Macaca mulatta: one gene and its partners. Each later gene encodes a partner of the first gene's protein in a complex. Links are inferred from orthologs where the notes say so. Each region holds a gene or a part of one and is shown in the gene's direction. Other genes may lie near its edges.

The links. The genes of interacting proteins can lie anywhere in the genome.
Region 2: the proteins of NLRP5 (region 1) and TLE6 are in contact, whole or in part, in a cryo-EM structure (PDB 8H94), measured with the Mus musculus proteins. The link is inferred for Macaca mulatta from reciprocal best matches to the Homo sapiens genes NLRP5 and TLE6. Residues at the interface, in NP_035990.1 of Mus musculus: Gln185, Phe188, His283, Arg307, Glu326, Lys327, Lys329, Ser330, Ser334, Pro335, Leu336, Met444, Ala447, Glu448, Trp451, Tyr465, Tyr507, Tyr508, Glu511, Glu515, Asn517, Phe520, Phe522, Leu540, Met543, Lys544, Leu547, Val571, Lys574, Leu575; in NP_444484.1 of Mus musculus: Pro147, Gln148, Pro149, Val150, Cys158, Gln159, Phe161, Leu162, Ile163, Gly165, Leu166, Trp167, Leu169, Phe170, Ser173, Arg174, Gln175, Lys176, Asn177, Ala247, Asp248, Lys249, Phe250, Lys252, Pro253, Ser255, Trp256, Leu261, Glu262, Cys265.
Region 3: NLRP5 (region 1) and KHDC3L share a complex: the UniProt entries of both Homo sapiens proteins name them as parts of the subcortical maternal complex. The link is inferred for Macaca mulatta from reciprocal best matches to the Homo sapiens genes NLRP5 and KHDC3L.

What each region holds. Positions count from the first base shown.
Region 1 is NC_133424.1:68,392,521-68,399,864, forward strand, and holds part of NLRP5 (NACHT, LRR and PYD domains-containing protein 5), read left to right. Parts: intron 1-1,599; coding exon 1,600-1,770; intron 1,771-2,521; coding exon 2,522-2,689; intron 2,690-5,651; coding exon 5,652-5,822; intron 5,823-7,344. UniProt on the Homo sapiens protein: Component of the subcortical maternal complex (SCMC), a multiprotein complex that plays a key role in early embryonic development.
Region 2 is NC_133424.1:3,766,927-3,774,878, forward strand, and holds the start of TLE6 (transducin-like enhancer protein 6), read left to right. Parts: upstream 1-3,409; 5' UTR 3,410-3,794; exon of another isoform or gene 3,795-3,946; intron 3,947-4,483; exon of another isoform or gene 4,484-4,505; 5' UTR 4,506-4,540; coding exon 4,541-4,591; intron 4,592-6,703; coding exon 6,704-6,786; intron 6,787-7,952. UniProt on the Homo sapiens protein: Component of the subcortical maternal complex (SCMC), a multiprotein complex that plays a key role in early embryonic development.
Region 3 is NC_133409.1:112,314,655-112,321,322, reverse strand, and holds KHDC3L (KH domain-containing protein 3), read left to right. Parts: upstream 1-3,343; coding exon 3,344-3,512; intron 3,513-3,698; coding exon 3,699-3,878; intron 3,879-4,153; coding exon 4,154-4,425; downstream 4,426-6,668. UniProt on the Homo sapiens protein: Component of the subcortical maternal complex (SCMC), a multiprotein complex that plays a key role in early embryonic development.

The sequences.
Region 1 (7,344 bases):
GATCACCTGAGGTCAGGAGTTCGAGACCAGCCTGACCAACATGGTGAAACCCCGTCTCTACTGAAAATACAGAAGTTGGCTGGGCGTGGTGGTGGGCACCTGTAATCTCAGCTACTTGGGAGGCTGAGGCAGGAAAATCACTTGAACTTGGGAGGCAGAGGTTGCAGTGAGCCAAGATCATGCCACTGCACTCCAGCTTGGGCGACAGAGACTCCGTCTCCAAAACAAAGTAGAATCATGCAGTGTTTTTCCTTCTGTGACTGGTATAGCTCACCTAACACAATATCCTCCAGGTTCATCCACGCTGTCAAAAACGGTAGAATGTCTTCCTTTAAGGATCAGTAATACTCTGTTTACGTATGTATAGCATGTTTTTGTTTTTTTGTTTTTGTTTTTTTGAGATGGAGTTTCCCTCTTGTTGCCCAGGCTGGAGTGCAATGGCGCGGTCTCGGCCCACCGCAACCTCTGCCTCCCAGGTGCAAGCGATTCTCCTGCCTCAGCCTCCCGAGGAGCTGGGATTATATGCATGAACCACCACGCCTGGCTAATTTTGTATTTTTAGTAGAGACGGGGTTTCTCCACGTTGAGGCTGGTCTCCAACTCCTGACCTCAGGTGATCTGCCCGCCTCGGCCTCACAAAGTGCTGAGATGACAGGCGTGAGCCACCGCGCCTGGCCGTATCACATGTTGTTTATCTGTTCATCCATGGATGGACATGTAAGTTTTCCACATCTGAGCTGTTATGAATAATGTCAGAGTGAGCGCGGGAGACCAAATACCTCTTCTGCATCCTGACCTCAGTTCTTCTGAGCTTACACCCAGAGATAGGATTGCTAGGTCCTACAGTAGCTCTATTTTAATATTTTTTAAGGAACCTCTGTACTGTTTTCCAAAGCTGTTGCACAGTTTTACGTTCAAGTGGAGCTGGAATTGAAGCAAAGACCTGATGTAGGGCCAGGCACGGTGGCTCGCACCTGTAATCTCAGCACTTTGGGAGGCCGAGGCAGGGGCAGGTCATGAGATCAGGAGTTTGAGACCAGTCTGGCCAACATGGTGAAACCCCATCTCTATTAAAAATGCAAAAATTAGCTGCATATGGTGGAGGGCGCCTGTAGTCCCAGCTCCTCGGGCGGCTGAGGCAGGAGAATCGCTTGAACCCGGGAGGCAGAAGTTGCAGTGAGCTGAGATCATGCCACTGCACTGCAGCCTGGTGACAGAGTGAGACTCCATCTCAAAAAAAAAAAAAAAAAAAGATCTGACTCAGGAGCTGGCAGTTCCTAGTCATACCTGCATACCCCCTCGGGTATCAATATATCCAGGAGGCAGGGTGGACACAGGGCTAGTCGTGCAAAGCGTGATGGCAGCCACTAAGTTGCCTCAGAGTCTCTAAAGCTGCCCCGGTCTCGCCTCGATAGCTCAGTCCCTCTCCTCCGACATGTTGCCACGATTGTTCACCTTAAACTCCATCCCACAAGCCCATATTTCTGTCCCCCCCAACATAGGATGTGCCTCGATAGCTCTGTCCCTCTCCGACATGTTACCACAGTTGCTCATATTAAACTCCATCCCACGAGCCCCTGTTTCTATCCCCTGATGTAGGATGCGGGGTAAGACCCTCATGGAGGATCAGTGGGAAGATTTCTGCTCTGTGCTCAGCACCCACCCCAACCTGCGGCAGCTGGACCTGGGCAGCAGCATCCTGACAGAGCGGGCCATGAAGACCCTGTGTGCCAAGCTGAGGCATCCCACCTGCAAGATACAGACCCTGAGGTAAGGCTGCCCACCCCCTGTGAGAGAATCCCTTCCCATGACGCTGTCCCAGCTCTCCCCTACCTCCTGAGAGGAGACCCATCTGAAACCCCTCAAGCTCAGCCTGAGGGCATCAGTGCCACCCAAGGTGTAGGAACCAAGTTCCCAAAAGCACAGAGTGGGGAGTTGCTAAAGACCTTGTGATCGGCCAGGCGCAGTGGCTCACGCCTGTAATCCCAGCATTTTGGGAGGCTGAGGCGGGAGGATCACAAGGTTAGGAGTTCGAGACCAGCCTGGCCAACATGGTGAAACCCCAGCTCTACTAAAAATACAAAAAAAATTAGTAGGGCATGGTGGTACGTGCCTGTAATCCCAGCTACTTGAGAGGCTGAGGCAAGGGAATTGCTTGAACCAGTGAGGTGGAGGTTACAGTGAGCCAAAATTGCGCCACTGCACTCCAGCCTGGGCAACAGAGCAAGACTCTATCTCAAACAAAACAAACAAAAACCTTGTGTTACTGAAGCAGGTTCCTTGACACCAGGTTTGGACGGGTTTGGATGGATTAAGCTCTTCAAGGCAGGGATTGTTAATACTGCTTCATACGCTATTCCCAGTAGCTGGCCCATCACAGGCACTCAGGTATTCGTTGCTTTACAAGGAAATACAATTAGAAATTTGCAAGTTAGAATGGGAGAAGGATGGGAAGGATAAGTGAGGTCACAACAAAACGTCACCAGTGTCACATGCATCTCCCGTTTCCCGTCTCCTGCAGGTTTAGGAACGCACAGATTGCCTCTGGTCTGCAGCACCTCTGGAGAACCCTCATTGCCAACCGTAACCTAAGATCCCTCAATTTGGGAGGCACCCACCTGAAGGAAGAGGATGTAAGGATGGCGTGTGAAGCCTTAAAACACCCAAAATGTTTGTTGGAGTCTTTGAGGTGCGTCTCTGGTAGGGCTTTTGCCTTTTGTTTCTTCGTTTTTGCTTTTGTTGGAAATAATTACAGAAAGAGGCAAAAATTAAAGAGCTGAAAAAGTTTTGGTGGTGGATGGGGGTGATGGTTGCAGGAGTTTAATGCCACTGAATTGCACACCTAAATAATTAAAATAGTCCATTTTCGGTTATAAATACTTTATCACAATAAAAAAAAACCTCAAAGTTTCATTTAAAAATTTTTATGCTTGGGAGGCCGAGGCGGGGACAGATCACAAGGTCAAGAGATCGAGATCATCCTGGCTAACACGGTGAAACCTCGTCTCTACTAAAAATACAAAAAAAAAATTAGCCGGGCGTGGTGGCGGGTACCTGTAGTCCCAGCTAATCAGGAGGCTGAGGCAGGAGAATGGCCTGAACCTAGGAAGCAGAGCTTGCAGTGAGCCGAGAGGGCACCACTGCACTCCAGCCTGGGTGACAGAGCGAGATTCCATCTCAAAAGAAAAAGAAAAAGAAAAAAATTATGCAGAGGCAAGGTCTCATTCGGTTGCCCAGTCTGGTCTGTTTTTTTGTTTGTTTGTTTGTTTGTTTGTTTTTGAGACGGAGTCTCGCTCTGTTGCCCAGGCTGGAGTGCAGTGGTGCGATCTCGGCTCACTGCAAGCTCTGCCTACCCGGTTCATGCCATTCTCCTGCCTGAGCCTCCCGAGTAGCTGGGACTACAGGTGCCCGCCACCACGACCGGCTCATTTTTTTTATTTTTCTTTTTTTTTTTTTTTAGTAGAGACACAGGGTTTCACCATATTAGCCAGGATGGTCTTGATCTCCTGACCTCATGATCCGTGCACCTCAGCCTCCCAAGGTGCTGGGATTACAGGCGTGAGCCACCGTGCCCGGCCTTGACAATGCTCTTACAGTGAAGTCAGTGTGGTATGTCGTCGCCTGAGACGGGCTTTGCTCCGTCAGTGCTTGAGATCCACCCAAGCAGTCAAGTGTTCGACATTTTCTTCCTTTCTCTTGGCGACAGCCATTCGATGCTATGAAGTACTGCAGTTGAACCATTCCCCTGTCCAGGGACACGTTGGTTGGTTGGTTGGTTCCGGTTTGGGGCTCTCACTGTGGTTTGCAAGTCCTGGGAAGGTGGTTTGTTCATTAGATTAGCTTGGTCTAGAGATACAACTATTTAATGTTTATGTAGTATTCTTTTCCTTTTTTCTTTTCCTTTTTTTTTTTTTTTTTTTTTTTTTTTTGAGACTGAATCTAGCTCAGTTGCTCAGGTTGGTGTGCAGTGGTGTGATCTCAGCTCACTGCAACATCTGCCTCCCGGGTTCAAGTGATTCTCCTGCCTCAGCCTCCCGAGTAGCTGGGATTACAGGCGTGCACCACCACACCTGGCTAATTTTTGTATTTTTAGTAGAGATGGGGGTTTTACCATGTTGGCCAGGCTGGACTCGAACTTCTGACCTGAAGTGATCCACCTGCTGCACCCTCCCAAATATTCTGAGACAGACAAGTACAAGCCCTGCTTTGAGCTTTGTTAGTTGGCACATCAACTAACATCAAAGAATAATAAGAATTTGCTTTGCACCGTGTGTGTTTGCCTGGTAGCCAAGGAACTGTACTTTAAAAAGATGTAACCCAGGGAAATTGGCCAAAGCATAGACATCGTCTCAGGACGGAAATGCTGTGCCTGACCTCACGTGGGGTTTATCTGGGAACAGATTGGAGGAAGCTACATGCTCACTCTTTTGCTCACTCTGCACCACAAGTGCAGAGAGCTGGAGCTTGGATTCAAAGAATAAATATACACGTTGTCAGAAAAGATGGATCTAGGCTATTTGGGGCCAAGAAAGGAAAAAGCATTGAAGTCACTTAGGTCCAGTTTCCTGGAAGTCTAATGAATTTCCCTTCTCATAACACACAGGGGCAGGGGTATTGTTCTATTCTCTTCACTCCTGTAGCCCCAGAACCTAGAACTGCTCTATTCCCAACACTTGGCCCGTATTCCCCAAAGTATTTATTGTACAGAGGGATGGGATGATGAGCTAAGTCTCTAAACGGTAGACTTTGACATTGAAAGATGGATTGGGCCACATTGTGAAGGGTTTCCATTCACTGTCACATTGAGGAGTTGGAACTTTCCTTTATTCAATAATGACAGATGCTTGATTCTGTGTGTAGTACTACGACAAGTTCCTGGGATGTGCTGATGAGTGAAACGAGATTCCTGCTCTCCTGATGCTCACAGGCCAGCACAGGGAGAACAAAACAAGACAGAAAGAATGATGTGTGCACACATGGCAGGAGCATGTGTAGGCTTGGAGAGCTCTAAAAGTTCTGTCTAAAATTCAACACAGGCCAGGCACAGTGGTTCACACCTGTAATCCCAGCACCTTGGGAGGCTGAGGCAGGTGGATCACCTGAGGTCGGGTGTTCAAAACCAGCCTTGCCAACATGGTGAAACCCCGTCTCTACTAAAAATACAAAAATTAGCCGGGTGTGGTGGAGGACACCTGTAATCCCAGCTCCTCGGTAGGTTGAGGCAGGAGACTTGCTTGAACCCGGGAGGCGGAGGTTACAGTGAGCCAAGACTGAGCCACTGCGCTCCAGCCTGGGTGACGAGAGCAAGACCCTGTCTCAAAAAAAAAAATAAAAATAAAAGGCTGGGGTGCGTTGCTATGAATGTTGAAACAATGGAGGGAGGTGGGGCAGGCACTGTTTAAGGTGTGGCTTACCCGAAAGGCGACCTTCAAGAGACATGAACGAGGACATGAGCCCCATGAAGACCTGAGGGAGGGGGGAGGAGGGGAGGTTGCAATGGAAGGAATAGCAAATTTTCAGGCCCAGAGGCAGGAGCAGACAGAGTCTGAGGACCAGGAAAATGGCCAGTGCCACTGGCGTGTGCTGAGTAGAGGGGAAATGGGCTGCTTTGGGCGAGAGCTGGGATTGCTTCATGCTGCCTGTCTCTGCAGGCTGGATCGCTGTGGATTGACCCACGCCTGTTACCTGAAGATCTCCCAAATCCTTACGACCTCTCCCAGCCTGAAGTCTCTGAGCCTGGCAGGAAATGAGGTGACAGACCAGGGAGTGACGCCTCTCAGTGATGCCTTGAGGGTCTCCCAGTGCGCCCTGCAGAAGCTGACGTGAGTGCCACTTCCTTTCCACCGGGATTATGGTAACTTCGATTCTCCAGTCATGGTGGGAGGGGAATGAGCAGATGCACAAACAGGGTGAGGAAGGAAGTTGGGACCTCCCGAGACTGCCCCCAGAGTCAGGGCATAAGAGTGACCTGATAAACATCTGTTCTTGCCGCCAAACTCTAAATGGGAGATACAAGGTGGAAGCGGGAATCAGTCAGATGGAAATTGAATAATGACCTTCCCTCCTGATAAAGCTCTCTTGGGCGTGAGGCTTACGTGTGCAGCTTACACTGTGGGTTAGTGAGTGCTTGTCCCCATGACTGGAGAGAGATGCCCGCCCACTCAGGCACTCAACGTGGGTGGGGGTCAGGCTCCCCTCTGCCTGGTAAAGTCCAGGCCAGAGCTCATGCATTCTGGGCTTCTGGGCACAGAGAGGCTCAAAAAGGAGGGTCCCAAAATCCCAATCCCACCTCCTCCTCTGGAGACAAGGGAGCCCAGAGCAGGGATGAGCCCAGGCCTGTGTTGTTCTAGCAGAAATGCCTCCAAGTGGAAATGCGAGGGGCGGCAGTTCCGCACCCTGACGCCTAAAGGGATATCACCTTTTTCCTTTTCCGTGTCAGAGTTTTGCTGTTGCCCAGGCTGAGTGCAGTGGTAAGATCCTAGCTCACTGCAGCCTCGACCTCTTGGGCCCAAGCGATCCTCCTGCCTTGTCCTCCCGAAGTTCTGGGACTACAGGTGTGAGTAGTGCCTGGCCCAAAGGACACGACTTGCTTACTGATAACTGATCTAGGGAGGGGGAGGAGAAGCAGCAGCAGAGTTACAGCACCCACTATTCAATGCTCACTGAGCTGTGCCAAGCACTGCGCTAAAATCCCTCCAACCCTTCCTCGCTGAGTTCTCAGAACAGGTCTACGGAACAGGTGCTGTTGATAACCCAGTTGACAGATGACACAGCTTCGGAAAGGCTGTGTCACTTGTCCCACAGTTGGATGGTGCTTGGATGGTGATGCCGGGAGTCAAGGGTGGGTCTGATTCAGCTGAGCCACCCAGTGTGGCAGCCAGTATCCACGTGTGGCCAGCCAAATCTAAGTTAAATGGGGAAGTCAGTTTCCTCATCACACTAGACCCATGTCAAGAACTCAGTACCCATGTGGGGCTAGCAGCTCCCATTCGGGACAGCACAGATCTAGGTGACCTTTAATCTTAGCTGGATGGCAGTGCTGGTGTCACCAATGAGACATCCAGGCTTAGAGGGTGACGGCGTGAGGCCCCATCACACCCTGAGCTCTCAGTCTTGGGTGTCATATTCTCAACGGGAAGGGGCTTTCACTCCATGTAGCAGACTGTGTCTGGAATCACTTCAGTGCTACATAAAAAGCTGCTTAAATGGCCAGGTGTGGTGGCTCACGCCTGTAATCCCAGTGCTTTGGGAGGCTGAGGTGGGCGGATCACCTGAGGTCAGCAGTTCAAGACCAGCCTGGCCAATGTGGTGAAACCCCATCTCTACTAAAAATACAAAAAAATT
Region 2 (7,952 bases), about 65 Mb from region 1:
CATGGTGGCGGGCCCTGTAGTCCCAGCTACTCAGGAGGCTGAGGCAGGAGACTCGCTTGAACCCAGGAGGTGGAGGTTGCAGTGAACCGAGATCGCGCCACTGCACTCCAGCCTGGGCGACAGAGCAACACTCTGTCTCAAAAAAAAAAATAAATAATAAACATTTAAAAATAATAGGCCGGGCGCGGTGGCTCAAGCCTGTAATCCCAGCACTTTGGGAGGCCGAGACGGGCGGATCACGAGGTCAGGAGATCGAGACCATCCTGGTTAACACGGTGAAACCCCGTCTCTACTAAAAAAATACAAAAAACTAGCCGGGCGAGGTGGCGGGCGCCTGTAGTCCCAGCTACTCGGGAGGCTGAGGCAGGAGAATGGCGTGAACCCGGGAGGCGGAGCTTGCAGTGAGCTGAGATCCGGCCACTGCACTCCAGCCTGGGTGACAGAGCGAGACTCCGTCTCAAAAAAAAAAAAAAAAAAAAAAAAATAATAATAATAATAATAATAATTATGGGACAGTGGAGGGTTCGTGGGTGGGAACTTTTCCTGCAGCTCTTTCATGTCAGCTCCTCCCTGTGTCCTCCATGGACCAGCTGCAAAACCCAAGTTATGTGTGCACATCACCTGACCTTTGGGGGCCACTTGTCCCAGCACTAAAACCCTCAGTTCTCCGCAGTGAGAGAGCACAGAACAGAAAACATGGAAGTTTCTCTGGCTGGGTGTGGATCTGAAGTCAGCAGACCTATCGAGTGTTTGTGTCACATGGGGAGGTCAGAGAATGGGAGGCGTCTCTGTAGGAGAATCCTGACAGCATTCTCTGCATTTAGAACACCCAGGGTTTAGAGCTAACGTGGGAGGCTCCCGCCACAGGAGCCACTGAGATTACAAGATTAGCTGCAATCCAAACCACATTTGGAGAAAAATAAAATGAGAAAGGGAGATACAGGCCTGGTGGCGGCACAGTGGCTCATGCCTATAATCCCTAGTACTTTGGGAGGTAGAGGTGGGAGAATCACTTGGGGTCAAGAGTTCAAGACCAGCCAGGGCAACCTACTGAGACTCCCCTCCCCCTCGCCCTGTATTTAAAAAAAAAAAGAAAGAAAGGGAGATATAAGAAAGGGAAGGCCGGGCGCGGTGGCTCAAGCCTGTAATCCCAGCACTTTGGGAGGCCGAGACGGGCGGATCACAAGGTCAGGAGATCGAGACCATCCTGGCTAACACGGCGAAACCCCGTCTCTACTAAAAACACAAAAAATTAGCCGGGCAAGGTGGCGGCGCCTGTGGTCCCAGCTACTCGGGAGGCTGAGGCAGGAGAATGGCGGGAACCCGGGAGGTGGAGCTTGCAGTGAGCTGAGATCCGGCCACTGCACTCCAGCCTGGGCGACAGAGCGAGACTCCGTCTCAAAAAAAAAAAAAAAAAAAAGAAAGGGAAGGGAGGGTTAGGTGGTCTCTTCGATGAGATGATTCCTTCCTTCCTTCCTCCCTTCCTCCCTTCCTTCTTTTTTTTTGAAACAGAGTTTCACTCTTGTGGCCCAGGCTGGAGTGCAATGGCACGATCCTGGCTCACTGTAACCTCTACCTCCCGGTTCAAGCGATTCTCCTGCGTCAGCATCCCAAGTAGCTGGGATTACAGGCGTCTGCCACCACACCCAGCTGATTTTTGTATTTTTAATAGAGACAGGGTTTTGCCATGTTGGCCAGGTTGGTCACGAACTCTTTTTTTTCTTTTGGGGCAGAGTACTGTGTCGCCCAGGCTGGAGTGCAATGGCGCCATCTCGGCTCACTGCAACCTTCGCCTCCCAGGTTCAAGTAGCTGGGATTACAGGTGTGCGTCACCATGCCCAGCTCATTTTTGTATTTTTAGTAGAGACAGGGTTTCAGCATGTTGGCCAGGCTGGTCTGGAACTCCTGACCTCAAGTGATCCTCCCGCCTCAGCCTCTAAAAGTGCTGGGATTACAGGCGTGAGCCACCACGCCTGGCCTGATGTGATTTTTTTTTTTTTTTCCTGAGATAGACTCTTGCTCTGTCACCCTGGCTGGAGTGCAGTGGCACGATCTCAACTCACTGCAACGTCTGTCTCCCAGATTCAAGTGATTCTTCTGCCTCAGCCTCCTGAGTAGCTGGGACTACAGGTGCCTACCACCATACCCGGCTAATTTTTGTATTTTAGTAGATATAGGGTTTCACCATGTTGGCCAAGCTGGTCTCGAACTCTGGACCTCAGGTGATCCACCCACCTCTGCCTCCCAAAGTGATGGGATTACAGGCATGCACCACTGCGCCCGGCCCAATGTGGTGATTTCTAAGTAGGGATCTGAGGGAGTAAGGAGCCAGCCAGTGGCTGTCTGAGGGAGACTGTCCCTGGCAGAGCGAACCGCTAATGCCAGTACCAGGTTCTGGGCCAAACAGAAAGAATCTTGGGCTCTCACTACATATATATATTTTATATATATAATATATATACTTTATATATATTATATATACTTTATATGTTATACTTTATATGTTATATATGCTTTATATATGTATAACATATATTTATATATTATATATACTTTATATATGTATAACATATACTTTATATATAATATATATTTTATATATGTATTGTATATGTAATATGTATGTTGGGGTTTTTTTTTGAGATGGGGTCTTGCTCTGTTGCTCAGACTGGAGTGTGGGCTTACGCAATCCTCCTGCCTCAGCCTCCGCAGTAGCTGAGACTACAGGTGCATGACCACCACACTTGGCTAATTTTAAAATTTTTTTGTAGAGACGGGGTGTCACTGTATTGCCCAGAGTGGTCTCCAACTCCTGGCCTCAAGCAATCCTCCCACCTCAGCCTTCGAAAGTGCTGGGATCACAGGTGTGAGCCATGGTGCTTTGCCTTCATATTTTGAATAGGCCGAAACAGAACTCCAGAATCCCCTTACCCCTATCCCCACCACCCCACATAGCAGGTTTCTCTCGCTCTGTAGCAACCCACTTACCTCTCTGAAATCATCCCAGGCGTGTTCGGAGTGCACGCAGCCCCGTTAGCCTCCCGGTCTTCTCCTGTAACCAGCCCAGCTCTGCCTGAGAGCTTCCACTATTCCCTCCATCTGGAATACCCACCACTCTCTCCCACCCCGGGCTTGGATCTGGCAGTACTGTACCAGCCTCAGGGCCTCTGCTGTCGGGCTTTCTGCTCTCAGAGCCTTTGTCACTGGGCTGGGAGCTCCAATATGATAAATGCATAGCCCGGGGCTAGGACCATCAAGGGAACCCAGTAAGTTGGCTCCCGAAAGAGAACTAGAAGCTTCGTTTGCATTGCACGTTATTTAATATTGAGGAAAATATAATTAGCCCGTATATAAGCATTGGGGTGAGAGCGCTAAAGATTGACCCCACCCACCTCCCACTCCTCACTTCCAGCCGTAAGCCACTTCCGGACAAGGCTAAAAATGAGTAAAACAATGCAACTACTCGCCACCTATCCTTCCCCAAGTTCCACCCTCCGAGCCTCAAGCCCCACGCCCTCCTAAATATCCCCGCCCCCGCTGGGACCCCAAATTGCCTAGAGCTCTGCAATTCCGCCCTTCCCGGCAGCGGGACCGAAAGGGTTAAGCGGAGGCTCCCGGCTCGCTGAGTGACAGCTTGGCCGGCAGCCGGGGAGAGCCGGCCAATCAGGGAGGGCGTACGCGACCCACGTGCGCAAACGGCCTCACGATTGGCCAGCGCCGCCAGATGCCTGCCCACCCCGAGCCCGAACCCACGTGCAGCTACTGCGCCTTCATTGATCCGCTTCGCGGTCCAGGTGGCGGCTGGGTGGGGCCTGGGCGGGACGGGGCAGGGACAGGGCGGGACAAGGCGGGGCCCGATGGGTCAAATGGCCCCCGGTGGGGGAAGGAGGAGTTTCCTCTTGGCCTGAACTTGGCTGACCTCGGCAGCTTCCGCCCTGTGAGGGACGTGAGTTGCCAGGCGTTTTCCTGGGGGTTGGGGGGACTCCAAGATTCCCGGGCCGGGGAAGGGGCTGCAGGGGTGTGGAAGGGCAGGACTGAGGCAAGGAAGGAGCTTGGTGCTGCAGCTGGGATGCAGGTGGAGGGAGGTCGTTTCTTCTGTCCGATGAATTCCGCCTAATGCACCTGGCTAACTCCTATTCATCCTTCAAAACCCCTTTCTAGTGATATCCCTGCACTTTAGGAAATTGTCTGAAAACTAAGGTTGAGCTTTGGTGACCTTCCCTGGGCTCCCCCAGCAGGGAGTGTATGTGCACCATCCACCCCAACCTCCTAGGGTGAGGCCTGGGAGGCAGGGTTCAGTTCTTTCTGGGTCCCCGGCCCCACGAATCTGGGCAGCTGGAGGCATTGATAAGTGAGGACGGGACCTAGGGAACGCATGGGGGAACCGCAGGACTGGGGCCCTGGAGACTTACCAAACCGGGAGGTGCAGGTGGGGTAAGGGGTGGCTCCCTCCCTGACACTGCCTTATTTTCTGTCCTTCAAGACCTGCTGTCTCCTTGTTTTAGACTTTGGCTAAAGTCCTGGAGGCTACTGCCTGAAGATGACCTCTAGGGACCAGCCTAGCCCCAAGGGCCCCCCGAAAGGCACTTCGGTGAGGAGGGCATGGGGTGGGATCAGCCCTCAAGGGAAACCTAGGTCAGCCCAATGAGGTTCTGCCCCTTTCTCATCCTGTATCCACCTATGACCTGGGCTGGCCTCATCCAGGCCTCACAGCTGAAGACAATACCGGTCACTGCTACATTCAAGACAGGTGCCAAGGAGCCGTTTTTTTTTTTTTTTTTTAAATTAAGTGTAGGCTGGACACAGTGGCTCACAACTGTGATCTCAACATTTTGGGAGGCCGAGGTAGGAGGATCATTTGAGCCCAGGAGTTTGAGACCAGCCTGGACAACGTAATGAGACCCCCATCTCTACAAAAAAAAATTAAAAGAATCAGCTGGGCCTAGTGACATGGGCCTGCCTGTAGTTGTAGCTACCCAGGAGCCTGAGGCAGAGGCTTTGCTTGAGCCCAAGGAGTTTGAGGCATTGCACTTCAGCCTTGGTGACAAAGTGAGATCCCATCCTTAAAAAAAATGTAGCTTCTAATCACATACGTGATAAAAAACACAGGAACACAGCACGTATTTGGTTAATATTTTACAAGCAATCCGGGCTCCCTGTACTTTATGTCCCAGAGATGACCATTTGTAAATTTAGGCTCTCAGGGCTGAGCAAACTCTCTTTTTTGTAAAGGGGTCAGATGAGGAATATTTTGTTTTGAGACTTTATGACTTTATTGTTTTTGAGACGGAGTCTCACACTGTCACCTCGGCTGGAGTGCAGTGGCGCAATCTCGGCTCACCGCAACCTCCGCCTCCCGGGTTCAAGTGATTTTCCTGCCTCACCTCCCGAGTCGCTGGGACTACAGGCACCTGCCACCATGACCACCAATTTTTTTTTTTGTATTTTTAGTAGAGATGGGGTTTCACCATGTTGGCCAGTCTGGTCTTGAGCTCCTGACCTCGTGATCTGCCCGCCTCAGCCTCCCAAAGTGCTGGGATTACAGGCGTGAGCCACTGCACCTGGCCAAGAGACTTTATTTTATTGAGTCTTGCTCTTGTCGCCCAGGCTGGAGTGCAGTGGCACGATCTTGGCTCACTGCAACCTCCACCTCCCAGGTTCAAATGATTCTCCTGCCTCAACCTCCCGAGTAGCTGGGATTACAGGTGTGTGCCACCATGCCCGGCTAATTTTTGTATTTTTAGTAGAGACAGGGTTTTGCTGAGTTGCCTCGACTTGTCTCAAACTCCTGACCTCAGGTGATCTGCTCACCTCGGCCTCCCAAAGTGCTGGGATTACAGGCGTGAACCACCTTGCCTGGCCTTTTATTTTTAAAAATATTTTGTGCTTCTATTTTCATCACAAGAATGTGGTGAATATTTTAGACTTTAGGCCAAAGTGCAAAATGGAAGATGCTCTTTTAGGTACTGAAATAAGAGGACGGGCGCAGTGGTTCATGCCTGTAATTCTAGCACTTTGGGAGGCCGAGGCGGGTGGATCACGAGGTCAGGAGGTTGAGATCAGCCTGGCCAAGATGGTGAAACCCCAGCTCTACTAAAAATATAAAAATTAGCCAGGCATGGTGGGAGGCGTCTGTAATCCCAGCTACTAGGAAGGCTGAGGCAGGCAATCACTTGAACCTGGGAGGCAGATGTTGCAGTGAGCTGAGATTGTGCCCCTGCACTCTAGCCTAGGTGACAGCAAGACTTGTTTCAAAAACAAAAACCACAATTACTTTTGCATCAACCTAATACCTATACTCTGGTTGAGATGGAGACCTGGGGTCTTGAGTGTTTGGGGCATTGTAAGTTTTTTTTTTTGTTTTTTTGTTTTGAGATAGTCTCGCTCTGTCACCCAGGCTGGAGTGCAGTGGCGCAATCTGGGCTCACTGCAAGCTCCGCCTCCCGGTTTCACGCCATTCTCCTGCCTCAGCCTCCCGAGAAGCTGGGACTACAGGCACCCGCCACCTCGCCCGGCTAGTTTTTTGTATTTTTTTTTTTTTAGTAGAGACAGGGTTTCACCGTGTTAGCCAGGATGGTCTCAATCTCCTGACCTCGTGATCCGCCCGTCTCAGCCTCCCAAAGTGCTGGGATTACAGGCGTGAGCCACCCGTGCCCGGCCAGGGCATTGTAAGTTTTATGTAACCTTGCTTTGACCTTTCCAGCCCCGTCCTGGGATCTCGAACTCTGAGAGCTCTCCACCACTGAATTATCAAGGCATTCTAAATCGGCTCAAGCAATTCCCCAGGTGAGAGCAATTCCAGGGGCTGGCAGTCCCACGCTGGGAAGGGGTCCCACCTGGCCTCTCTCCTTGGGGTCCTAGTGAGTGGTCTAGAAACTGCTGGCCCAAGAGACAGGCTCAGGAACAGGAAGCCATGTCGATACCCAGCATGGAGAACCCAGCAATACCCATCCCAGCTTTTGTTTCATATGTTGATTTTCCTGTGCGACATGGATTTGTTGGCATTCAATTTTATTGTTGAAAAATACTGCAATGGCTGGGTGTGGTGGCTCGCACCTGCAATCCCAGTACTTTGGGAGGCAGAGGCGGGCGGATCCCTTGAGGTCAGGAGCTCGAGATCAACCTGGCCAACATGGTAAAAGCCCGTCTCTACAAAAAATACAAAAATTAGCCAGGCGTGGTGGTGGGTGCCTGTAATCCCAGCTGAGGCAGGAGAATCTCTTGAACCCAGGAGGCGGAGGATTGCAGTGAGCCGTGTTCACACCGCTGCACTCTAGCCTAGGCTACAGAGTGAGACTCCGTCTCAAAAAAAAAAAATATGTATATATATATATATACTGCATGGGCTGGGTGCAATGGTTTGTACCTGTAATCCCAGCACTTTGGGAGGCAGAGGCAGGAGGATCGCTTGAGCCCGGAGTTTAATACCAGCCTTGGCAACATAGTGAGGCACCATATCTTAAAAAATAAAAATCTGAGTGTGGTGGTGCATACCTGTAGTCCCAGCTACTCAGGAGACTGAGGCAGGAGGATCATCTGAGCCCAGGAGTTGGAGGCTGCAGTGAGCCATGATTGTACCACTGCACCCTCGCCCGAGCAACAGGGTGAGATTCTGTTTCAAAAAAAGAAATTGAAGAAAGTGGCAGGGTGGGGCGCGGTGGCTCATGCCTGTAATCCCAGCACTTTGGGAGTCCAAGGTGGGCGATCACCTGGGGTCAGGAGTTTGAGACCAGCCTGGCCACCATGGTGAAACACTTTCACCATTAAAAATAAAAAATTAGCTGGGCGTGGTGGTGGGTGCCTGTAATCCCAGCTACTCGGGAGGCTGAGGTGGGAGAATCTCTTGAACCCAGGAGGCGGAAGTTGCAGTGAGCTGAGACCGTGCCACTACACTCTATCTAGCCTGGGTGACAAGAGAGACTGTCTCAAAAAAAAAAAAAAAAAAAAGAATA
Region 3 (6,668 bases), on another chromosome or scaffold:
ATAAGGCTGGTTTCTGTGGCTCATGCCTGTAATCCCAACACTTTGGGAGGCTGAGGTGGGAGAATCGCTTGAGCCCAGGAGTTTGAGACCAGCCTGGGCATACAGTGGCCATGTTGCAGGCACTGAGACATAGTAAAGCCTGTCTCTATTAAAAATACAAAAATTAGCTGGGCATGGTGGCAGGTGCCTGTAATCCCAGCTACTCAGGAGGTTGAGGCACGAGAATCACTTGAACCCAGGAGGTAGAGGTTGCAGTGAGCCGAGATCGCACCACCGTACTCCAGCCTGTCGACAGAGCAAGACTCCATCTCAAAACAAACAAACAAACAAACAAATAAACCAAAAAACAAAAAACAAAGACTAGCCTGTCCTAAAAAAAAAATTAAAATGAATTAGTTGTGGTGGCACATGCCGGTGATCTTAGCTACTTAGGAAGCTGAGGTGGGAGGATCACTTGAGCCCAGAAGTTGGAGGCTGTGGTGAACTATGATGGGTTACTGCATTCTAGCCTGGGTGACAGAGTGAGACGCTGTCTCATAAAAAATAAATAAATAAATAAATCCATTATTAATATCTAGAAAAACAAAACTTTGTCAAGGAAAGAAATCATAGTAAAGTATATACAGCTATGAATAGTTTACAAAGTCCTAATAGTGCAAACATTGAATATTGATTTAACAAAATCATATCTCTGTTTTAAGAGGATCTAGGTCTGATGCATGTAGTTAAGTCCCAGCTTACTTGGGTTGGAAGAGGGTGAAAGACAGTGGTAGATATATAAATCCTAGCCTCCCAAAGTGCTAGGATTACAGGCGTGAACCACCATGCCCTGTCATTTTTTTTGTTTTTTGTTTTTTTGTTTGTTTGTTTTTGTTTTTGTTTTGGGGGGGTTTGTTTGTTTTTTGAGAGGGAGTCTCGCCCTGTCGCCCAGGATGGAGTGCAATGGTACGATCTTGGCTCACCGCAACCTCCGCCTCCCGGGTTCAAGCGATCCTCCTGCCTCAGCCTCGCGAGTAGCTGGAATTACAGGCCCCTGCCATCATGCCTGGCTAATTTTTGTATTTTTAGTAGAGATGGGGTTTCACCATGTTGGCCAGGCTAGTCTTGAACTCCTGGCCTCAGGTGATGTGCCCGCCTTGGCCTCCCAAATTGCTGGGATTACATGCGTAAGCCACTACACCCGGCTTGTTTTTTGACTTTTTAATAAAAGCCATTGTGACTGGTGTATGATGGTATATCGGTGTGATTTTAATTTGCATTCCTCTTCTGATTAGTGATACTGAGCATTTTTCATGTGTTTGTTGGCTGCCTGTATTTCTTCTTTGGAGAAACATCTCTTCATGTTCCTTGTCCAGTTTTGTTTGTTTGTTTCTTTGTTTTGTGGAGACAGAGTCTCACTCTATCCCGCAGACTGGAATACAGGCTCATTGCAACCTCTGCCTCCCACGTTCAAGCGATTCTCATGCCTCAGCTTTAGGAGTAGCTGGGATTACTGGCGCCAGTCAGCACGCCTGGCTAATTTTTGTATTTTTAGTAGAGACAGGATTTCGCCATGTTGGCCAGGCTGCTCTAGAACAGCTGGCGTGAGCCACCGCATCCGGCTTTGCCCAGTTTTTAATGGGGTTGTTTTTTCTTGTTGTTTTGCAAAGTACTTTAATTGTCTCAATTAGCAAGTAAGAATTTCCCAACTACTAAATCATTCCTATATATTAAATATATTCGACCGCCTGGGCGCGGCCTGAATATATACATTTGGTCTATTAATGTGGCAAACCTGAAGTTCTCTTTAGTGTTTCAATACTGAATAAAAATAAATTATAAATTATTATTTATCTTATAGCAACACAGTTAAAAGTTATTATTTTCACACTTTTTTTTTTGTTTTGTTTTAGTAGAGGTGGAGTTTCACCGTGTTAGCCAGGATGGTCTCGATCTCCTGACCTCATGATCCACCCGCCTCAGCCTCCCAAGGTGCTAGGATTACAGGCGTGAGCCGCCGCACCTGGCTCAGTTATTATTATTTTTTGAGACAGGGTCTCACTCTGTCACCCCGCGGGGAGTGCAGAGGCACCATCACTGCTTACTGTAGCCTCAGCCTCTCTGGGATCAGGTGATTGTCCCACCTCAGCCTTCCCAGTAGCTGGGACTACAGGGGTGTGCAACTTCGCCCAGCTAATTTTTGTATTTTTTTTGTAGCGATAGGGTTTTATCATTTTGCCCAGGCCAGAAGGATTGCTTGAGACCAGCTTGGGCAACATAATGAACCCTTGTCAGAAAGGGAAGGGGAAAAGAAAGGAAAGGAAAAGGGAAAGGAGAAAGGAAAGGAAGGATGAGACAAATATAATTGTGTTATTTAGAGAACAGAGGCATCACTGGGCATGGTGTCAGAGGCTTGTAGTCCCTGCTACTGGGGCAGCTGAAGAGGGAGGATCTCTTGAGCCCAGGAGTTGGAGGCTGCAGTGAGCTATAATCACACTACTGCCCTCTAGCCTGGGTGACAGAGATCCTGTCTCCAATTTAAAAAATTAAAAATAAAAAAGAACAGAGATGTCAAAAATTTTCAAGGAATCTCCTCTGGTGTCCAAACCACGAGAACCATCTGTGGTTAGGTGTGTTCATTGCTGCATTAATTAAAAGCGCTTTATAGTCCCACCACTGGGGAGGCTAAAGAGGGAGGATTTTTTTCAGCCCTGGAGTTCGAAGCCAACCTGGGCAACATAGCCAGACCCCATAACTTTTTTTCTATCCCCCCCTTTTTTTTTACTACGCAAATCTCACTACACAGACCCTATAGCAAAACAAAACAAAACAAAAAGGCGGGCGCTTATTCTGCTCTGTACTCAGCTGTCTCAGGCAAGTGACAGAATAATCTGAAAACCTGGTGCCAGAGGGAGAAAACGTAGTGGCCAGGGATCAGAAGCGAGTGAGGGACGTATGAAGTATTCATTCTGCAAGTATCAGTTCCTTCCTCTGGGAGAGATACTGGGCTTGTCCACGCCTTCCTGAGTCCATGGTTAAGACTCCCGCTGGGCACCAGCGGATTCCTGGTGCCCAGAGCCCGGTTCCTCCTCCCGGGTGCGCTGGGGAAAGGGCTGCTCCTGACAGAAGAGACACTGAGAGCAACGCAGGAACCGGTGCACTTGCGCTGCCTCGGAAAAAGCCGGGGCTCCTGGAGGCGGAGGCGAGGCCTGGGACCCAATGAGAAGGGCGCGGTTGGAGAGGAGGGGCTGGCCAAAAGCACTTTAAATAAGGCCCAGGCGAAACCGCAGTTCTAGTCGCCTAGCTCCAGCTTGGCCTTTGGGTTTGCTGTGGTGGTCTTGTCTCCTGCAGGACCGGGCGCAGCATGGACACTCCCAGGCGGTTTCCGACGCTCGTGCAACTGATGCAGCCAAAAGCAATGCCAGTCGAGGTGCTTGGTCACCTTCCTAAGCGGTTCTCCTGGTTCCACTCTGAGTTCCTGAAGAATCCGAAGGTAGTTCGCCTTGAGGTTTGGCTGGTGGAAAAGATCTTCGGTGAGTGGAGCAAGGAGGGGCAGCCCCTATGCGGCTTCTTTCTGCCGCCCACACCCACATCCCACTGCGTTCCAGGGCAAGCCTCCCCAGTAGCCAATGCCCTCTGGCTGTCTCCTCCTTCCACTTTCCCCTCCCAAGACCCCCGGGAGCCACCCAACCCTCACAGCCTCTCTACTACCCGCGCAGGCAGGGACCGAGAACGCATCCCGCACGTCCAGGGTATGTCCCAAATCTTGATTCATGTGAATCGGTTGGACCCTAACGGCGAGGCTGAGATCTTGGTATTTGGGAGGCCTTCTTACCAGGAGGACACAATCAAGATGATCATGAACTTGGCTGACTATCACCGACAGCTCCAGGCGAAAGGTACGGGGCTGGGAATGGGGCTACCTGGAGCAAACCCTGGCTCCGTAGGAGTGATCCTGGGGTTTCCTGGCTGCTGGGGCTGCAGTCTCGCCCTCCCAGTCTGCCCCCGGTTAGTGGGTGGGAGACGGGGCGGTTGCCATGGATCCAGAAGGCCAAAGTGAACCCGCGTTCTGGGATTCCTGGTTCCTACTCCCGCAGGCCGCTTGGGTGACTGTCCTTTTTTGGAGAGGATATAGGGACACAGCTGTGGCCTCCGCACACTGCTCTTCTTTCAGGCTCAGGAAAGGCCCTCGCCCAGGATGTCGCCACTAAGAAGGCCGAGATCCAGCTGTCTTCAACAGAAGTCCGGGAGGCCGGGACCCAGCGTTCGGTGGAGGTCCGGGAGGTCGGGACACAGGGTTCTCCGGTGGAGGTGCGGGAGACCGGGACCCAGCAGTCTCTCGAGGCTGCCAACCAGTCCGGGACCCAGCGATCCCCCGAAGCTGCCAGCAAGGCAGTGACCCAGCGGTTTCGCGAGGATACCCGGGCCCCAGTTACCAGATTATGAAGGCATCTCGGGCCCTGGAGCCAGAGCCAGTCAGGGGTTAAAGTGAAAGCCCGTACTTCGCCCAGAAGCTGCGGTTGGGAGGAGGATGATGTGGATTTTTTGTTTTACCCCTTCTGTTGAATGGTTGCAAACACAAACGAGTTCTAATAAAAAATTGCAAACTAGAAGCCGCCCCCTACTTCAGCCCCTGAAGCTGGGGTAAGGGTGGATGATGTGGATTGGTTTTTTTTACCCCTTCTGTTGAATGGCTGCAAACACAAACTTGAGTTCTAATAAATAATTGCAAAGTGGAAGCCCCCCGCTACTTTAGTCCAGGAAGCCGGGGTGGCGGGGGAGGTTGACGTGGATTGTTTTTGTTTTACACCTTCTGTTGAGTGGTTGTCAACACAAACTTGAGTTCTGATAAACAATTGCATTTCCCTGACGTCTGTATTTTGGAAGGTAGAGGGGAGGGAAAGGCGTATTCCTCCAACAGCCCAGTTCTGCCCTGCGCCGCTCTTTACCTCGAGACAGGTGGGGCTTCTGGCTCCCAGCCGCCCGGGGTCGCAATCTTCCCTGGCTGTGGTCCGCTGTGCCCCTTGTACTCCTTAACTGCGCGCATCTGGCTTTAACAGGTGAGAAGCTTCTCTGGCCCACTAGGAAACCTCTCCAAGCCCGCTGTGGTTCTACTCAAGGTGACTTGGGATGAGAAAACCGGGTCGCTTGCGGGCCAGCTGGATTTGGAAGGCCCTGCGTGTATGGCGACGCTGCCACAGAACACTTTCCCCGCTGGGGAAAATTACCTCGGGGAAGGGGGAAACGAAGAGAGCCGAGCTGCACTCTCCGGCTGCACTGTTGCCGTCTTCAGGTCTTGCTTGGGTCACCCACCTTCCAGGAAGGTCTTGGACACCAGCAAGATACAGGCACCGGCTACTCTTTCCTCAGTTACTGCGGCAGCGAGGAGCCTGAGCAGAGAACACTTTGGCTTCCCGGGTCACAGCTCTGGTCAGGGCACTGGGATGCAGGTCCCTGAGCCTGCGAATTAATCTAGAAGAATGCAAGCCAACAGCTGGGTGCTAGGATTAAACAATAGCATGCAGTAATTCTGTAATTAGGATTTAATTAGGATTTTTTTTTTTAACCAAGAATCACTGATAATTTTCATTTTATTTTGGAGATGGAGTCTCGCTCTGTCCCCCAGGCTGGAGTGCAGTGGCCCCATCTCACCTCAACACAACCTCTGCCTCCCGGTTTCAAACAATTCTCCTGCCTCAGCCTCCCCAGTTGCTGGGACTACAGGCCCGCGCCACCACGCCCAGCTAATTTTTGCGTTTTGGGTACAGAAGGGGCTTCACCATGTTGGCCAGACTGGTCTGACCTCAGGTTATCCGCCCGCCGCCTGGGCCTCCCAAAGTGCTGGGATTACAGGTGTGAGCCACCACGCCCAGCCAATCACTAGTAATTTTTAAAAGTTCAAAGCTAACTTTAAATATCAGGGGAATGTCTATCACAAACTTTTTGTCACCACTAATTATCACTCGAGTTTAAAATAATCATGTACCTTACAATAAGGGAATTACAACATAAAGCTGAATTTACAAAAACTTATTAGCAACTTTTAACTGGTAATCATTTTATTAAAATAGTTGACTAATTTTAGAAGAACTTTAGAACATTTTAAATTCAAAATCAACACAAAATCAGTTTCAGATGAGGATACATCACAGAACTAAAACTCAATGTGTATGTTGTTTTTCTCTGTGTAATACCCACCTTACCAGAATGTTGGATTCTCTCCTTTACAAGCTGTTTTCATTGTCCTTGACCAAATTCAGTGTTAACCAATCTATGTTCATGTGTAACTTTTCTACTTTTTCTGCTGTCTACCTCCTATTTTAATTAAGTAGCTTTGTAGACTGTTTTAACATTTAAGAGGGCAAGTCTACTTTTTTTTTTTTTTTTGAGACAGAGTCTCGCTCTGTCACCTAGGCTGAAATGCAATGGCATTCCACTGCAATCTTCACCTCCGGGGTCTAAGCAATTTTACTGCCTCAGCCTCCCAAGCAGCTGGAATTACAGGCGCCCACCACCACGCCTGGCTGATTTTTGTATTTTTAGTAGAGACGGGGTTTCACCATGTTGGCCAGGCTGGTCTTGAACTCCTGACCTCAGGTGATCCACCTGCCTCAGCCTCCCAAAGTGCTGGGAATACAGGCCTGAGCCACCGTGTCTGGCCCTCACAACCTTTTCAACTCATCCAAAAC